Linked DNA regions of Caenorhabditis elegans. Changing the gene in region 1 together with any one later gene gives a genetic interaction. Each region holds a gene or a part of one and is shown on either strand. Other genes may lie near its edges.

Region 1 (10,061 bases):
TTTTCGCAATCACCGAAAGAAAGAAAAATTCAGTAAATCAACAAAACGAAATAAGAGACGGTAGAATATTGGAATAGTAAACATTTGAATGAATAGGAATAGTGGATTGTCGAGAGAGAAAAAAGGTGCTCACGGGAGCAGCGGCGCGGGGGGTCATACTGTCTACGCGCACAATCTGCTTTTAACTTGTCATTACTTGAAGAATGAATAATTTCTCTTATTTCATTTCTGCTGCAAATAATATCATTTTTTTCGAATTCTTTGTGCACCGGCCAGGTGAGGCGAATTGAAGAGCTTGCTGAATTAACAAATTGGTAACTTAAAGAATTACTATGGTACGGTCCCTATCTCATATTAATCGCTTTAAACAGCTAAAAAATATATTATTTTCCACTTGAAATGTTTTTGTCGAGATTGAAGTCACTTTAGCTGTCCCTGTCCCTGGCCTTTTAAATCTCAAAAAAGCCGCCAAAAGAAGCAGATGTACAAGTTGTTCTGTTTGGAAATGTATCTGGGGGCTTGTGTATATACGCCTTGGTACAACCTCTGAAACAGCTGTTAAAATTGCATCTACATATATGTATACTCCATTCATGAATTTCCAACAATGCCGTGATTCAGTGAATTTCGGAGAAATGTAGGCGCCGAGAGTCGTTTTCTCATTTTCCCCATTCTTCCAAACAGTTGCACAATTTGCCAACCGTCAGCCGCGTATGCAAATAGAGGCGTCACGTAAGAGTTGAGTCAAGTCAGCCACAGAGACCTCATTGACTGAGGTTACTGTGCAGCATGTTCTTCGTTTTTTTTTTCATTCTCAGAGAAAGAGAATCCACCTAGCGCCGCAAGTGTCGTTGCGACCCCAAGCCGTTTCTGAGTATCTCAAAAGTCCCCCCGTTTTGCTCTCACCAAATGCTCTCAACTCGTTGCGTATAATTTTTGTGTTTATCGAGCCTTTCCTCGCTTTTTGACTTGCTCACTTGCCTATATGTAAACGAACCACCGTTTTTTTAACCTCGATTTTTCTGCCGACATGTCAACATTTTGAAATCAAATTTTGAGCACATAATTTCTGAAACCGATGTGTGATTTCGAAGGTTTTCATGAGCTGATCTATTTAGATATAGCATATTCAGTTCATTTCTTCAACTTGTTTAGAATTGTACCATTTGTTTACATGACACACCTGGAATTTTGGATAATCCAAACATTGCTACTATCTTTAGAACGCCAGCATTGGCACAACACTAAGAATAGATTTCAAAAAAAAAATTCTTGCTAAATATATATTTTTGAGAGATATCCTGTCAAAAATTGAAAATTTCAATGTTTTCGAGTTTGAATCAAATCAAAATGATGTAAAAAAAGATTCTAGAAGTCTAGTTTTCCTTCTGATTAAAAAACAGCTATTTGGTCAATTTCCAAAGATTATGAGTGACGAGAACTACAGTTTCAAACAGTTTTTGAAAGTGTTTCTAATAAGTTTAATCAACTTCCTTTTCTAAATTTCATAAAGTTTAATTTTTTTAAATTAAGATTTATAATAAAATTAATAAAAATTGCATAATAACATCACAAAAAATTACAGACAATTCTAAGTTTTGTCAATGAGGAAATGGAGTAATTCCCGTAGTCTCGTCCCGTAGTCTCGTAATTTCACATATTTTCACCTCTTAAAAGCAAGAAAATGTCAGTCAAATTTTTTTAAAAGTGTCAAGTTTGAGAAACGTTTTGAATTTTTTAAACAATTACAGAAATCTAGTTTAAACCTCTACAAGATTTAGAAGGTAAACTATTTTAAACATAATCTTTTAAAATTTTTGCTGTGACTGAATTTTTTTTAACTTTGTTATTTTAGTAAGAATATTTCGATAAGATTCGTCATTAGTATTTAGTTTTGAGATTGATATTGCAGTATTTTCCAACAGCTGTCATCAACATCTTATGTATCCCAAAAGCGCCGAGCAGCAACAGCTGCGCATTTTTCATCAGAGAAGACAAAAAACACCATGAATTTTGTGTCGAATATTTCAAATGCACTTTAATGAAAGAAAGAGCACTCTGATTCCCAAAAAAACACTTTCAATGACTCACAAATCAATTAGACTAGTTCTGTTGATTCTTACTACAACTCGAGTGAATCGAGAACCGATTGCTCGACTCTTTGACTACGGTAATGTGTTTAACCAATGGGCAAGTGACGGGATTATGCAGTCAAGTGATAAGCGAAGTGATCAATTCAGAAAATAAAAACACACCATATGCATTGGGATAAGTCGACCTTGCCCAGTTAGTTGTTCTTCAGTTACTTTGCATCTCTCTTCGAAATACTCAATTTTTCCTCTTACTTTTTCTATTTTTTTCCTTCTCACCATGTGTGTTAGGTCACTTTACACATCAGCTTACCTGGCGAGGAGAAAATTGAAAAAGACAAGTGATAATCATTATGATAGGTACAGAGACATATCGAATACGAAATAAAAACTTGACGGTGATATTGATAATTAGAGAACGTTATTCGTATTTTTTGGTTTTACATGCGTTGGCCATACTGTTCTAAACTAATCACCGTTCTTGCGCAAAAATTCAACTCGAGTATTGATCAATTAGGACAACGTACATACGTATCAAATCAGTTGACAAAGAAAGACAAAAAAAAGAGACATTCTTTACTTGGCATTTTACATTTTCATTCTCTTAATTTTCATTTCAACTGTGAAGGGTTTGGATACCTTGGAACTAACATAATTGTTTTAAAGGATTTTATACATACAGTATATTCTCTATAAGTATTGCAATTTTTAACAATTTCAATGACTTATTTTTTTAGGAAGAACCAGCTGAATATTTTGAATTCTGATGTTTTTTAGCTGATTTACAAAATTGCACATCTACCTAATTTGATAATTTGAATCAAGCCACGGTAAAAAATATTGAAAAAAAAACATTTGATCTCGGTAAAACATTAAAAAATGGGGGAGTCCTATAAAACTTTCGCGGTCAAAACTTCCATAAGTTTAAAAAACTGATCTAAAAATAATTTTTAATTTTATACAAATTATGACGGCTATTTTGTAATATGAACATTTTCACAGTTTTTACAAGTTATGTTCCTTTTCACAAATTGAATGAGAGATTTTTTGATAGTTCAGAGCACCAGTTATTTTTTGACTTTTGCAAAAATTATCAATTGAAATTGTTGATCATTTATTTATCTATATTATGCTGTTTGAAAATGTTGTGAAATATTTGAAATAGGCCGCAATTTAAGCTATTAGAAGAGCTTAGCCAGGCTTCGGAAAATTTGTATTTCATACTATTCATCAAATCATATACTCTTTTTAAGATTGTCCTAATTTTTATTGTATTAAAAAATCTCAATTCTTGCAAATCCATCTGCTTCAAAACTTCCAAAAATTTCAAAAACTGTTTTAAATAATTTCTAATTTTATACAAATTTTGATAGCTATTTTAAATTCAATCAATTCTCAAATAAATCGAATGATATTTCAAACCTCACCAGTTGAATTATATTAAAAGTTTAATGTTGTGATGAAGAGAACTGTGAATGTGAAAATTACATTTCACATCAACACGAGTGTACGATAGAAATGTACAGTTTTTTCCCTTTTAAATGCTCATTTTCAACGCAACTCGCTCTTTGCCAACTCAATCTCGAAATGTCAACTTTTACTTTTGGCCGCACATTGTTAGCACGGTGAATAGTCAAATGAGAGTCCATTTAGTCATGCCCCCCCCCACGCTTTCCACGCGCCCCTTCATTTTTCTCCGCCATTCACCAACTTTTTTATTCATTTTTCCTTGGGACCATGCAACGACTACATACATGTCCACCACGACTTCATTGTGATTATTCATAGAGCCATTTGGCTTTTTGGGGGGAGCCGGCCAAACGGCATTCTTTCGCTTGCATAGGCAAATGTCGTATATCCAGAGTGTCAGCAGGGCAGGAGCAGCGCTAGAAGCACCGTCGTTTCAAATCGACGCCATCTAATATGCATATTTGAACAACTGCGCGGTTTTGCCCACAGATCTGGCCGCCGCAATGCCTTTTTGCCTTTTACTGGCTAAACATGAATCCGACCAGTGCGATCATCCACATTTCCTCGTTTTACAGTACAGCTGAAAACAAAAAAAGATAATGGAGCTTTTGAAGGAATGGGGACTTTGTAGGAAAAGATAATAGATAATCAAGAGAAGTACATCACGTTTCGAATTGCCTCAACTTTAGGGCTCATGTGTCAATGCTCATTTCGTTAAGCTGATGACCTCTCGATATCGCATCTGTTTCTCCATGTTTCATTCATACTACTACCTATTCTCCGTCTTATCCCTTTTTCCTTCCCAATTCTTTGTCTCTTTCTTGCCAAACAGAACAACACCTCCCGAATCAACATTTTATCCCCCCACAATCAATCACTCAATAAAATCCATCAAAAATCTTTTGATAATCAAAAATGCCTCGGTGCCTGACTGCCGAACAAGCCGGCGGGGCGTCGTCTTTTTTGTTAGCAGTTGTGTTGTCTGTCATCCTACGTAATTTTGTGAAGACTCGAATTCATGAGCCAAGTGGTGCTCAAAAGACTAGGTAATGAATGTGTAGTGTAATGGCCGGGAAGAGTGAGCCTCATACACAAGATATCATATCATCTTATCTCCAAGATGTATTTCGAAGAATCTTTTTTGAATATTTCACATTCTCCATTTTTACAGAGCTAACTGTTTTTTCAGCTTCAACTAGAAATTTTCTCAACAGTGAGAATGCAAATACTTTCAGAAAATGATGTGTAAGTGACAAACATAGGCACTCTCGGAGCTACAGAACCAATTTCTCTTCTTATCATATGCAAATTTGGCGTTTTTTAATACTCTAATGTGTTATTCAAAGCTTATCAGTCAAATTTTCTTTATGATCTCATACAGTTCGGCAACATCGAAGTTTAAATTTCAAATTAGGACGCGATAGATTTTACCCTAGTTTCGTTCCTAGATATTAGAATAACTTAGATAATAGAAGAAAAGTGATGCGAAAAACAGGGACTCGAAAATTGTTTTAAACAAAGTGTCCTATGCGAAATTCACTTCATTTCTTTTATTTTTCTCTTCCTCTCCCACATTTTTCGTCGAGAGCTATCATAACAAGAAGAGCTGAACGCGATGCAGCAGTAGCCGCAGAAAAATCAGATCGAATCATTAGGCGCATGCGACAATTGGCTGAAAAATACTGAGACACAAGTCGCACTAGAACGCTTGGCTGTCAGCTAGTTAGGTGCCGCTCGGCTTTTCCTCCCCACCCCGAGAGTGGTTGATTTTATGCCAATATTACAACTTCTAGGGTGGCTCATTTTCCTGAATCGCCGATGCGATCACCCTCGTCGGCAATGAGTGGCCCCCACGCGTTTCGCTTGATCCATGCCGCCGATTTGCTCACATGAAACACATTCTTCATTTTCTTTTCTCAATTGACGGAATATTACATTTTGTTTATCTCGATTCTCTTTTCTCAGTCAATCTTTTCTGATTCGTCATACCTTCATTCACCTTCCAGCTTATACAGTTTCGATTTATTTTTAATTTTCATCTATCAAAACCACATTCTCTGTCGGTCTTATCCAACAGTGTCTCTGTTTCAGACGTAAAAAGTCTCTATCATCATCCTCACAACACATATCATCAATGCAAGAAATATGAACACCTTGGAGAACACGTTTCAATTTCTCGCAGAAGTATTCGGTAGGTGATGCTTTATCAATATCCGTTTCTTTTTCTAATTGTCGACTCTTCGGAGTCTGGTCACAAATCAAGCGCGTTGCTGTAATAATTCATTTTGACTGATTTTCGTGAAAAGCTAATGACAACGGTATGTTATAGGCGATGATTGTCTACCTGGACGCAACAATTTTTTAAAAATGTTGGTCAGATGCTCTTTTTTTGCAGTTTTAAAATCCAAATTCACTTGTGTAAAAAAAAAAAAAAATTAGGCGTTTTTCAAAAATTGTATGGGTTTTTTGATGAAAAAGTGAAACTTTTTGCACTTTTGAGCAAAACAGTTTTGTTGGGTTTTTTCTTGTTTTTTGAGCCTGAAAATGAAATATATGTACATTAAGAAACTAATTCATGTGTATACTAAAATCGAAATGGTATGTATAAAATAATTAAATATTTTTTGGAGTAGCAAACTCAAAATTATCAACTTTAGTTTTAACAACTCCAGAAATAACTTTTGAGAAAATAAGGGTCAAAAGTTTTTTTGAATTTTTGAATGCATTTTTCTGTATAGAAAATTGTCAGAAATTCAAAAAATTATAATACTTGCAAAACATTAAAATAAATTTTGGATACTCGATATGAAATCACTTCAGACAAAAATTAATTTCCAATGTTACGCTACCAGCTTTTCAAAAAAATTGTAAAAATTTAAAGTTTGACGGTAAACATTTTCCAAAACTCATTTACACTTAAAAAGCGGTTTCATAGCGCTAAAAATTTTACAGTAAACATTTTGAAAGAATTTTCAATTTTTTTACAGTCAAAGAGTGGTTAAAATTTAGTTTTGACCTAACATTTTGAAAACATGTATGTAAGTGTAGCAATGCTCAAATGTTTTTCTTGAATTTTCACCAAAATAATTATGGAGTGTTCTATTTTGATATTCGGCCATCTTAGAGTATTATAAAAATTGTTAGAATGAGTTATTTGACAATTACATTCACTGAAACGTTGATCAGTTATTAAATACTGTAAGTTGATTTGTAGAACAATGTACACAAAATAAGTAACTCCAAATTATCAATTAAAAGTTTATCATTTCATTGAAAAATCACAGTAGTGAAAGTACTATCAAAACTTGATCTATTGATCACCGTTCCGTGTGTCCTTATTTTCGCGTTCCACTACTTACACAGATTAACTCAAGTTCAGCGTCGTTGATGTTAGCTTTCGAAAAAAAAAACTTCTGCGCGAATTTGATTGGCATCGTGAAAATGAGATAACATGTTCTGATTGCTCAAAAAAGGAACTTTTCTGACTAGATGCTGCTCCATATTTCTTGTGCACATTTTTCAGAAGCCAATGGTGGTTGCCTTGTCACAGAACGTGTCAGTCCATCTTTGTCGGGAGCCAGCAAACGAAAAAGTCGACCGGTGAAGAGGATCATCACTGAAGACGAAGTAATCCCAGAAGAAGAAGTGGTCGAAGAAGAGGAAGAAGAGGTGAGTCTTTTGAAAACAAACTGCTTTCCAATTGGCTTTTAAAGTTACCTTTTTTCTCAAATACGTTTTTATTTGCAATCAGTGAAAAAAAAAATTTAAGCTGTTTCATAAAACTTTATATATACTAAAATGATTAAAAAAGCTATGAAAATAGTTATAAAATACCACACATCTAAATTAGTCAGTAATGTTTTTCCACTCTCATCGGACCCAAAATCAGACCTTTCCAATTCAACTCGGCCATCCCAGCCCATCGCATCCATTTGCTTTCTCAAGATGAAGCAGTGCAATGAAAGTGTGGGATAATGCAATAAAGGGGTGGCTAAAAAGGAAAAGAGATGCGGGTATCGAGATAAGCAGATTCGGGAGTTGGCCCTTGTTTATGATGTAGGACAAAACTAAAAGTAGGCAGAGGAGAAAGCCGAGCCGCGTCGTTCTGTGTTTTCAACTTTTCATATTGGTCCTTTTTTTAGGCGAAATCTTGGGAAATTTAGTGATTCGTCAAGATAAAAATTTTAATTTAAACTGTTAATTTACTGTTCTGGGCATGATCCTATTTTTTATCTTTAATCATCTTATTAGGGAAAAAACAATTTTTAGTTTTTAGTGCAAAATTCCAAACGAACCAGTTTGTTGCCTGTCTCAAAAATTACATTTTCAAATATGGATAAAAATTTAAACCATCGTCTTATTTAAAAAGTATTTTTTTAATTTATTTTTTAACATAGATTTTTACTGTTATTGTTAATGTGTACATATTATTTTATTTTACTCTTCTGTATCTAGAAATTCTGCATAGTTAATTTTAAGAAAGGGCTCGAAACAGTAAGATTAACATTTTTGAATAAATGTTCTAAATTTTATTTATTAGAACTTTTAATGTCTATTTTCATGACCGTTTCATAAAGAAATAACTAAAAAAATATCGTAAAAATAACTTTAGAAATTGATTCAACTAGATATTCCTTATCATTTTTGACCGAAAAGATATTTGGAAAAAACAGTATTGAGATGACGGTCGCTAACTATTTTCAGCGACTGCCACTGTATATAAACTGCTTCACTTTTTATACATACCTTTTTAGCACAAAAGTGTATTTTCTAATTACTAAAATTTGTTAAATTTCAAGCCTTTTCTTCTCACGTTTTCCAACTTTTCCCACGCTGTAAAAATTTTTTGTTTCGTAGTATTTTAATTTTGGATTAAGGTTCAGTCAGGTCATTTTATCATTTTTTTTTAATTAAAAAACAAAATTTTTGAATGTATTTTCAGTTCTTTTTTCCTTTACTTTTGTAATTAATTTTCATAACTTCTATATTCACATTGAAATTGTATCAAACTACAGCAGCTCTGAACATTTTTGAGCATCCTCAATTTTTTTTCAAAATTAGAGACCTCTGGAAATAAAGAAAGTAGGTTGGCTGACCCAATCATGCTGCAGCATTTTTCAATAAGTATCATGACCCGTCGGTCGCTGAGTAATTGAATAAGTAATGAGCATCGTCGTTTTGGTCCTGAAAATGGAGTCGACGACGACGACGACAAAAAGATGAGATCTTCCTTTACGGAACGAAAACGCCGGCGGTCCGTGCTTCGCGTGTGTATGGGTATGAGAGAAACGACCCCACTGAATGACTCGAGTTTTCGACGAGCACTTCCAGATTTGCTTGTTTTTCACATCGTTCCATTTCTATTCCCCTTAGTTTTTCGTTTCTTTTTTTTCAATTGCCTCAGATTTATACATAGCTGGAACGAGAGGAGAAATATTTTTTGGCGTGTGCCATTCTACGCCCGTCCACCCATTTGGAACGCTTCTTCTTCTTTTTTCCCCCATTTGGTCCCCTTCTCAATGTTTTTTCTGTGACGACTGGTAGCACCCACTCGGGCAGAGATTCCACTCCATCCGTTTGCCGATGCAACATTTGTTGCATACATAAAACGGGGAAAAAGCCGGGGGAAAGCAGCGGCGAAAAAAAAACGCGGGAGGGAATTTGAAAAGTGAGAAGCTGCAAGTGTAGTAGGTCGTTTCTGTTTCTCATTGGGACCATCAAACGACTTCTCTTTTGTTTTCGCAACGACCCCCTCCTCATCTCTCCTCTCGATTTCATTTTCCCTTTTTTTGTAACACTATTTTCCCAGGTCCGGTCATTTGTCTGTTTTTCTATATCTCTTGCTCCCCTTTTCCCTCTTTCTCTCTCTGATCCTTGACTACCACAGCTGTTCATTATAAAAAGGTTCTGATAACGATCAGTGGTCAATAATGATATAAAGTGTGTATGAACAATTGCTCTAACTTGCCCAAAATGGTCCCAAATAGAGAATTTTCGTAGTGACGCGTCTGGAATTTTTCTGAAAACAGGGCTAAGCTCTCCAATTTTGCAATTTTTCGTCACAGCGGCCGGAAATTAATTTTTATTCGATTTCACCTCTGCATACTTTGGCAGTTGAGTTTTTTGTGTTGAATTAGGTAAATTTTCAGTCGATAAGTGCACAAACTTTAGCAATTTTAGCCCTTTTAATCAACATCCTGCAAACAACTAATTTCAGGTTCAGGTTTTTGAAAAGTATACAAATTGAAGTTTTTGAAAAAAAAGTGAACTTCTTATTTTAGGTAACCTGAATTCAATTCAGTTAAATTCAATTTAATATTTTGAAAACTCATTTCAAGACCTTTAATTTTAATTATTGAAAACCAAGTTTGCACTTGCATTCTGAACTTGGAAATCGGAGGTGTTTAAAGTAAAAGCTCCCTGAAACCCAGAATTTAAAGCTTCCAAGTATTTGATTAACATCCTCTGGTATTCAACAATTTCAGAAAATTGAAATTTTCT
Region 2 (10,061 bases), on another chromosome or scaffold:
CCATTCGACCATTTGCATTGATTAATTCACGAACATCAGACTTCCCAGAATTATGCATTGGAGTTGGTCAAATGTCTGGATCAAATGAATATCAATTCAATATGATCAATTTCTGCTCATCAACTAATAACTCTGAGCTCAGTGGAGATTTAAACTCATCATACGGAAGTCTTGCCGATGACGAAATGCTTGAAGTTGGAAGTATGCATCAAATTGATAGAGATACATTATGCTTTTCATTCCGCAATAAAGTAGTGTTGACTGATCTACAGGGATTCGAACGCCCGAAGCCGTCGATCTTCACTTTCAATTTTCACATTGAATATCTACACGTCGTCGATGGAACGATTCTCGCTTTTCATGCAAATGGAGTTCAAGGCAGAGATTTGAAAAGTAATCTGAATACTCAGGATTTGTGCGATGTATCTCGATTATATCGTGTGATCGGTGATGATAGGTACAATTTTTGAGATTATGATTGAAAAAAATGAATTGAAAAAAATACAGTCATGATATTTAGTATAAAAAACGTAAAATAAACAAAAATTCTCAAATTTTGGAAAAAACAAATCATTCTTAAATATGAAAATGTAATTTTAAAAAGGCAATCTCCATATTCTAAAGAACCTTTTTTTAAACAAAAATCAACTTATTAAAATTTTAATAACTCTAGTTGTCTTAGTTTTAAAAAAATTCAACTTAAGTAATATCGCATTAATGCGAAAACGCAGATTTAAATATGGAATTAATGTTCATCAAGAGAGAATCCAATTTTTCTTGTTGCAAAATCGAAAAAAACAAAAAGCCAAAAAACGGCAAAAATGTGGTTTTGTAAATTTTTTCTGAAAACTTCAAAATTCAAATTTTAAACGACTTAATTGTAAGCATCCTATATATTATCTTACAATTATCATTGAAAGGGCGTAAATTCTATGAAAATATCAGAATAAAACAAAGAAAAATTCAAAAATATACAAGTATTTTTTCATAAATTTTTAGGTTTTTTTCAGTTTTTTAAAAGGCAAATCGATAAATCTTCATTTCCAGAGTAATAATCCTCCGATCGCAACCAATGTCACCCCGAAACTCTGGCGATACTTGTGACGTCAGCTTACTTATGGGACATACGGATACTCCAATCGCTGGATAAGATCTCTCTCATCGCATATATCTGCTTTTGTTTCCAGAAGAAAAAAACGTATTTAACCTACACATTTTCCCTACACCGGGTCACAACTCATGTATTCTGCTTTCTCCTCACTCGATTCTAGTTCATCATTATTTCACGCATAATTTAATAGAAAAAAAACCAAAATTCCCCCACCATCATCACCAATTCCTGTAAAATAAATCAATTTGTTGATCTCCTCGCTCTTTCCACCATTTTCTCCCAATTTCCGTGTTCGTTTCTTTTGTGTCAACTAATTGCCTTACCCTATCATATAAATACCGAAAAGTGCCCAATTTTATTATCAAATGGTTTTTTTGTTTCGCCTGATTCACTTTTTCATCGAGCTTCTTCTGTTTAACGCGCAATTTTCTTTTCCTTTTTTCTTGCATCCGTGTTTTTGTATAAAATAAGTCTTGTTATTTATTTTGAACCGGAGAGCTGTTACGAAATAATATCACTAGAATTTAACCGGATTAAGTGACCAGAAGATCAGGGTGGTAAACATTGCAGCCAACACAATGTAAATGAAGAGAAAATTCAGCGGTAGTTCTGTGGTGAGAAGTCTGAAAAAAATTCCGAATTTGAAATAAAATTTTGAAAAATTGCTCACCTTGAAACAGCGCCGGGCTTCTTTCGTCGTGGAGTTTTCGGTTTTCCACTCGAAATTGATGTTTTCTTAGAGCTGCTTGCAGTAGTCTTACTTGTCTGAAACAACAAATCTTTGAAATTGAGGTGCAAGCGCGCTCCATGGGTCAATTTGAATTTAGTGGTTTTCCGCCAATACCTAACGAGACCCATCTGTTGGGGGCGGAGCGTTTTCATTTTGACATGGAGCGCGTTTGTTTTCAAATCATTCTGATTATTCAAAAATAATTTTAACTTACCTTATTCATGATTTAGTCGAAATAAAATAAAAATAAAGGAAAAATAAAGCGTCGTGGAAATTTTTAAAAGTAAAAAAAAGTTTCACGGCGAATTTTTTAAAGAAATAAATAAAAGATAGAAAACAATAAATTTTATTTAAATAAATATCTATAACGACAAGTTTTTACATCTACAGAAAAAAAGAGAGAGCGAGGAACCAGTGAAAATGAATAATTCTTAATCATTTACAAGACTGAATAGTGAAATTATGTTATAGTATTAAGAAGTGAAATGATGCTCTATAATATGATAAGGATTGTGTATATTCTACAACTAACTATGCGTGAATGGAATTATGAAAGTGATGAGGGATGTGGTGAGGGTGAAAAAACATGTACAGTACATTGAAGCGAATTAATAAAATTACTTCCATTTTATCGACGGATTGTTGAGAGCCGCCACCGCTTTGAATGATTCCACAGAATTTGTTTTCAGAGATTTCGCGTATGAAGCCAGCGAGAGACGATCTCCTTTCTGTGTCAGACACTCGATGACCATTTCAGGAACATCAAATAGTAGTGCTAGGCGAAGACGTTCTTGTGCATCAGATTCGCCTTTCAGGATACGGTAGATGAACTGAAAATTTACACACATGAATAATAGGTATCTTGTTAAAACTATTCCTCACATCAGTCGGTGGAGATGGATGAGATCGTTTTACAATAGTCAGCAAATTGTGATTATTGATGGAAACTCCCCATTTACTGGTTGATTTTTTGCCTTTGAACACACCTGAAATTCAGTTAATTTAGATATTTTCTCAGCTAAAACCACAAAATTACTTTTAGCTGCACTGAACGTCATGGTGATAGTTTTCGGTTGAAGTAGCTTATCGATATCTGGCCAACGGCTTAGTCGAGTCAACGCTGAGACGATCGTTTGAGTGGCAAGTCGATCATTGAATCGGATCAATGTTTGAACTGATGGTAGAGAAGCTGCAGATGTCTGTAATACATCGATTATGAATGATTTTGCAACGTTCTGAAGAGTAATGTACCGGTGAATCGTCGTAATGGTACATCGCTGAATAATACAGTGACGATAGAGCAGGTAATCCAATTAGAGAGCTGGTTTTTGGAAACTTTCGGAAATGTTCTCCTTTATCTCCAGCATCCATTTTCTCCATTTGCAATTGGATTTCATAGTTTCTCATCAACGCTTCCATTTGTCGGGCTTCAAATTTCATTTCAGGAATTGAGAAGCTACCATGAAGCATGGTTCGGAGCAACGGGACTCGCTTGTCTGGATTTCGTTTGTATTTTCGCGTAGCTTCGAATTCAATGACAGATGCATGTTGATACTGACCAATGCTACTATAAAATGGGGAAATTGATTTCAACAAATTTTAATTTAGTTTTTATTAAATACCGTAAAAACTTGTTCATCTTGTCCCACTCGCCGGTGATCTGAAGATGTCGTGTGTAAACTCGGCATGCACTTTTCTGGCCATCCATTATTTTGCAGAATATGTTTTCCTTGAGAGTTCTCTCTAGAAAAATCACAATCTGTAAAGAAAGATAACTTTTTAAAAAATTAGTATCATAGCTGTTCGGACCTTGAAAATTGTATTATTGTCGTACGTGGCAACTGCTTGCTTCAAAAGTTGTGTCTTATCACGTAATGACCTATAGTAATCCAGTGTTACAGTATGCCCTTGAAGCATTCTCTTGATACTAGCCTCGATTGTAAGCGGCTGAAACCGTTCGTGGCGAAGAACCTAGAATCATAATTATCTTCAAAATTCTATATTAAAACTTTAATAGCTAACTTCGTGCTGATCTTTAAGTTTCCGATGTTCTTGTCTCAATCGATTATAATCCAAATCAAGACGTTGTGCTTCACTTGGTAAACTACTTGCACTTGCTTCAGAAACCACAGATGGAGCGGTCTGAATAACTGGCGCCACGTTAACGTTCTCAGCGAATTTCATGTTCAAGAAATCATCTACAATCTTGCCAGAAGCCCGAGGAGAGGTACTGCAAATTACTTATTTATATTCATAAAACAATGTAATTAACTTACTCTGTTATTCGAATATTCGCCTTGTCTGACACAGCAGCAGCTCTTCCGTCAATTTGCAGTGGAACATTTGTGGGAGTTGGCGTTGGGTTCTGCGGTCGGACGTACGGCTTCGGAGTCTCATCGCCACCGAAGAGATTGTCGACGGCTGCTCGAGCTTGAAGCTTTAATTTTCGTGTTAAACACATTGATTTGAGCAATATAATAATTAAGAAACGTGTTAATTTACTTTTTTTTCAATTTTTTAAAAGTAAAACATCTGGTCACGTTTATAGTTTTAAAAGATTTTTTTCGTTTTTTCTTAATATAATAACTACGTTAAAACTTACTTGTTTTGATTGTAAATCATCAAACAATCCGGATGAATTCGAGTCAGATTCATTCCAATAACTGTCTTCCGGAAGTTCAAAAGTGAATTTCCTTCGAAGGGCCATTCTTTATAATATTATCATTTCTTTTGCAAAGTATCTGAAAGAAACTATAAGAATGAGAAAAAATAGATAAAATTTTATGGGAAAATGGGAAAAGAATTCAATAAAAAATAAATGCAGAGAAAAAAAACGCAATTGACATGAAACGAGAAAAAGAGAAGAAAGGCAACTGCGTGCACGCTCCTTGCAAAAACTGCGTGCCAGGATTGCGAAGGCGGGGCTTATGAATGAAGCGCGAGTTTGAATCAAATAAAATTATTTTTTGCTCTTGGCCTAAAGAAAATCGAATTAAAGCTTTAGTTTCTAGTAATTCGTAAAATAATTTTTTTAATCGAAAATAGAACACAAAATTGTCTAGTTATATTAACTTTTAGACCTGATCCGACGTTCGTATGAACTAGAAATCTAGAAGATCACAAAGGCGCGAAATTTTGATTTTAGATTTTTCTGTAACTCGGTGGCGGGAAAATGTGAAATTATATTTTCAATCGTTTTATCATCATTTGGAATCATTTCTGCACTTGTCTTCTGTTGTCTTGTCTTTTCTTTACCCAGTTCCTCATTTTTCTTTATTCAACTTTTTTTTTCAGAATGCAAAACACACAGATATTTACTAACTTCGCTCACAGAGCACATGATGGGTATGTTTATCATTTTTAAATGTTGGTATTAAGTATTTCTTTTTCAGATTACCGTTTAACAGTGCGAATCCTTCCAACAAAGATCCAATTTTCACAATGCCAATATCGGTCAAACCGAAAACTCGTGAGCCGGCTTCTTTCACAGATAACAGGTAAATTTGTCGTGCCGTTTTAATGAATTCATCAAAAAACTTTTAGGATATATGTCAGCAATATTCCCTTCTCGTTTCGTGAACAAGATTTGGCGGCAATGTTCTTCGCGTGAGTTTTCAATTTACAACAAGTTCTGAATAAGAATATTAATTTCAGATATGGAAGAGTCCTGAGTGTGGAAATCGTCACAAATGATCGTGGATCCAAAGGGTTCGGGTTTGTCACACTCGATTCCATCGAATCCTGTGAGAAAGCTCGTGCTGCGCTTCACGAATCACATGTTCAAGGAAGAATTATAGAAGTGAGAAGAGCGACACCAACCCGCAGAAAGCTTATCAACAATCCACAAAATGAAGTTTTGCCACCACCAAAGCTGTGTGTCGATCTTCGAGCCCCTCATAATTTATGGAGAGCTGAGCCAATGCATCAGTTGTTCAAGGAAAAGGAGAACACAACATGTTTTCCCGAAGCTGGATTCATGATGGCACCATACCGTAGCAATGGAATTTTCAACACGCGTAGTCTTGTGCAGACCAAACCACCTCGATGCACCAAGCACAGCGAGCTCAAGCTTTCTTCAGCTGGTGAATACTTCTGCAAAAACGGCGAGCCTACGACGGAAACAAGTATTCTGATGTGCATGCACAGACAAAACTCACCATGCAGCAATAAGTGTTCTGATTCTTCGAATCACGAGCTGTCTGATGTGGAGTTGAACTCTATATTCCCACATCATCTTCGTGACCAGATTACTGCTCTTCTCGACACTTCAAACCATTTTGGATCAGGAAATAATAGTGCTAACAAAGGAAAGAGAGCACCATCTGTGACATCTTCTGGATTGAGATCATCAGAGAGCGAGACAGTTTCAGGTAAATAGTTTAGATTCTAGATTGTCGATTTTCATTTAAAAATCAAATTTTAGACGAAGAGATTCATTGGTCCCCACATAACAGCCCTGATTATCTTCTCGCTGCTCTCTACGAAGGTTCCACATCGTTCCACGGAAAGTCTGTTTCTCCACCAAAAGAATCGTCAAGCCAGTAATCAGTTCAACTGATACGCCCATTTTATTTCTACTAACTGCGTGTTTTGCATTTTATCGAACACCCCTAAACTTTCACTTAACCAAAAAGCTTTAACAAATTTTTTACGGAATCTTCTTGTACAGCGACACTCGTTGTCCTTGTCAAATGATTCGTTGCTAGTTTTTCTTCCCTGTAGCTTCTATATCGACCCCCCCGGTGTTATTTTGTAGGAATGCGTTTCAGCATCTTCCCTATTTTGCCATCTCTCACATACACTCAACATTAGCAATCGGAAAACAGATCTTCTATATTGAAAATATACTACCAGTCCGTTTAACCTACCTCGCTTGCTAACATTATTGAATGTGCCCACGTATTGTATTTTCTGAGCATCTTTCTGTTTTTTTTGTATTTTATAGACGCTGTGTTCGCCAGTTATTTTTGCATTCCTGTATTGCTCGAAGTCAAATGAAGTGCTTCGCCATATTCAATTGTTTTATTTTCAAAATCACCCGTTAATACTAGATTTCAGTTTGAATTTAATCACAGTTGTGAAAGATCATTATCCCGGCGTGTCATTGAGAGATCAAATGTTATCTTTCGGCACCTCTTGGCCTTCCTCCATTCATGATCAGAAGATTCACTCTCTTCTAAAATGACGTCGTGAGAGACTGCGGGAAGAGAAAAGGACGATGGCTGTCGGCACTTTGTGGATGCTGCTGGAAAAGTTTGGTGAATTTTGAAGTTTTGTGGTTTTTGATGATAACTTCAAAATGGATGGGAAAACACGAGAGAGAGAGAGAAACTTACGGATTTGAAGAGTGGGTGGAGAGGAAGGGTACAAACTGCTTCGCTCCTCATCATTTCCTGTGCCACGTCGACTTCGATTTTGACGACTTGAAAGTGTTGCGAAGAAGGACATTCGACGGGATTTCGATCGTCGACAACCACCGCTTACCCAACAAAATAGGCACGAAACAGGAATGAAGATACCTGAAATAAATATGCATTATTAGGCAAACTTGGAATTTTCATAGTTTTTTCCTATAGATTTTGATTTTCTCTAAAATTCCCCAGCGCCTATATTACAGGAACACTATTTACATTTTGAGAATGCGAATTGCACAACATCTGACGCGCAAAATATCTCGTAGCGAAAACTACAGTAATTTTTTAAATGACTACTGTAGTGCTCGTGTCGATTTACGGGCTCAATTTTCGAAAATATTTTCTCGAACTTTGGCAGCGATTATCAATTAAAATTATTTACAATTCGAAAAAGCGAAGCAAAATTGAAACCCGCTGTCCAAATTCGAAAAGAAAACATTTTCGAAAATCGACACGAGCACTACAGTAGTCATTTAAAAAAATTACTGTAGTTTTCGCTACGAGATATTTTGCTCAATACGCATTCTTGAAATTCAGTGTTCTCGTAATATCATATAGGAATGGCCCCTTAACACACTAAAACAAGAATCCCGACATGTAATTTGTCACCATCTTCGTTTTCTTCCCAAAAACAATATAGTTATTTTCTTTCCATATTTTTTGACGTCAACTTTCAAAATAGGCAATTATTTTCACCCAATCTCTTTCAGCACACCGCGGATTATGCATCTCTTTGCCTGCTTTGCGTTCACCGCTTATTCATCAACATGAGAAGAGCTCAGTGACGAGTTAAAACAAACAAGAAACGAAGAGTTCCGTCTGCAATTACTCCCTTTACTCGTTTCACCGAAAAAAGCAAACGAACGGGTGCTCTGAATGAAAACGAACAAACATCGACGGCTTCTTCCGCCAATTTAATTGATACAAAACTTTGACTACAGTAGTTTTGTTTTGGTTTCTTTAAATAGGCTAATCAAGATGAGAGCAAACATCTGAATAGCATATGAACAAGAATTAACGAATGTTTACTTTTTCAAAATTTACACCCTAGGTTATACTATCCAGTCGCAAAATTTTGCAATTTTTCCGCCAAAAATACCGCAGCCGGTCTCGACACGACAATTTTTGTTACATGGAAATTGTTGTGTGCCTTTAATGAGTACTGCATTTTAAAATTCATTGCTGCGGAAGTTTCATCAATTTTTAATTATTTTTTTGGAAAAAAAAAATATTTATTTACAAAAAATCAAATATAACATTAAAACCGGATTTAACAAAAAATTGTCGTGCCAGAACCGGGTACCGTATTCTTGAACATTTTGGTATACATCGTTTTCCGAAACGTGGACAGTTTTCGAGTTAACTGCCAAACTCTCGGACTAAGAACATAACGCTTGGCGTAGGAGAAGCCGTTGCTATATTTATTTATATTTCCCTACTATAATATTTGTTAGCCGAGTAGAGACGAATCATCTCTGGTCTCAACCCTTGCTTAATGAATTTGATTATGGGCACAATGCAATCCCTCCATGCACTTCGCGTACAATATATATTTTTTAATATTATCATTATTTCTTCTTAAATGAGAATCAATAAGATGTCCTTGTACAAAAATTTTTTTAAGCGTGCGTGACGTCACACGCAGCCTCGAATTTTTGATAGGACCCAGTGTCCTTATAGACTTAGCTTGTAAGCATACCGGTAAAAATTGCGAAAAAGATAACAGCTAAAAATGCAACAAAATTGAGTTGGCACACAAGATTCGGCATATGCCCAATGCAGTAAGAAACCAAGGATCCACATTCAGCAGTGCACTCTTCCTGAAATAAAGCAACGTCATCAACCTTCAGTTTTCACTTTCCACGAATTGCTCTCTCATCTTCATTTCAAGCCTTTCAACCGGAAACCGCCCAGGCTTTTACAGAATAAGGAAATAATATTGAATAGAGATCGAAGCACGAACTTCTTGTTCTAGAAGCAGGTGCAATTAATAAAAAACTACATTTTTCCAAGTATTTGTTAGGTCTCTTTCATTTGGATTTCCTATAGATGGCGATCAAACTGTAGCTCACCATAGACGAATAAACAGGATAAGCTGTGTCCATGTCCATAGTCAATCCATGTCGAAGCTTGTGTTTTGATTGTCTGGAAATTTAAATTAAACGTACAATTTTAAAATCTGTTATGATCCTCGAAAAATCATTGGTTGAATAAGCGGATGTTTGTTGTTTACAAAGTATGGAAGGTAAATAATTTCAGATTCAAATAAAACATTTCTTGACCACATGTAAATATGCAAAGAAGATTGGCCACCTAGATTCGTAAAGTATTGGAAACTATGTGAATCCATCAGATTTGCTCCCAATACCTTCACTTTAATAACTGTGATCTCGGTTTAATTTTTGTTAGATCTCAGGTACACATACTTTTTCTTATATTTTTGAAAAAAGAAGACCACCGAGAATATAAGCTGTCAAATTTAAGCGGTGTGGTGCACGATTATTTGAGGAGAATTGCTGTTTGAATGTGAATAATACCTGGGGGGGGGGGGGGGGGGTGATTTGATGAAAAAACATTTATGTATGGCTAAAATAACCAAATCAGCTTTGCCAGCCATATTCCAATAACTTTTGAATTTTCAAAAAATGTACAGTCAAAAAGTCATCCAAAAACGAATGTTTCCTACTGATTTTGTATTCTAAAAAATTGTTACTTTTTTTTTTAATATTTGTAAATTATAGCATTGTAAATTAAAACATCAAACATGAGCCACTACTTTTCACTAAATTTTTCAAAACCACAAATT

The links.
Region 2: of ceh-18 (region 1) and spn-4, a change in one rescues a mutant of the other (synthetic rescue), as found in Caenorhabditis elegans (one study listed by BioGRID).

Annotation. Positions count from the first base shown.
Region 1 is NC_003284.9:3,853,388-3,863,448, reverse strand, and holds the start of ceh-18 (Homeobox protein ceh-18), read left to right. Parts: upstream 1-5,651; 5' UTR 5,652-5,705; coding exon 5,706-5,751; intron 5,752-7,082; exon of another isoform or gene 7,083-7,083; coding exon 7,084-7,229; intron 7,230-9,017; exon of another isoform or gene 9,018-9,226; intron 9,227-10,061. UniProt on the Caenorhabditis elegans protein: Directs gonadal sheath cell differentiation and function. Also directs gonad migration and plays a role in specifying the differentiated phenotypes of epidermal cells during postembryonic development.
Region 2 is NC_003283.11:6,779,978-6,790,038, reverse strand, and holds spn-4 (RRM domain-containing protein), read left to right. Parts: upstream 1-5,135; 5' UTR 5,136-5,136; coding exon 5,137-5,186; intron 5,187-5,233; coding exon 5,234-5,338; intron 5,339-5,384; coding exon 5,385-5,447; intron 5,448-5,495; coding exon 5,496-6,211; intron 6,212-6,264; coding exon 6,265-6,386; 3' UTR 6,387-6,852; downstream 6,853-10,061. Other genes in the region: gck-2 (Mitogen-activated protein kinase kinase kinase kinase), read left to right, coding at 1-457, 1,048-1,150; ZC404.2 (ABC transporter permease), read right to left, coding at 1,629-1,734, 1,782-1,876, 2,056-2,064; spe-39 (Spermatogenesis-defective protein 39), read right to left, coding at 2,459-2,671, 2,724-2,827, 2,878-3,040, 3,093-3,408, 3,464-3,600, 3,651-3,812, 3,864-4,071, 4,118-4,278 and 1 more; ZC404.15 (uncharacterized protein), read right to left, coding at 6,911-7,086, 7,178-7,360, 8,955-9,075, 9,328-9,366.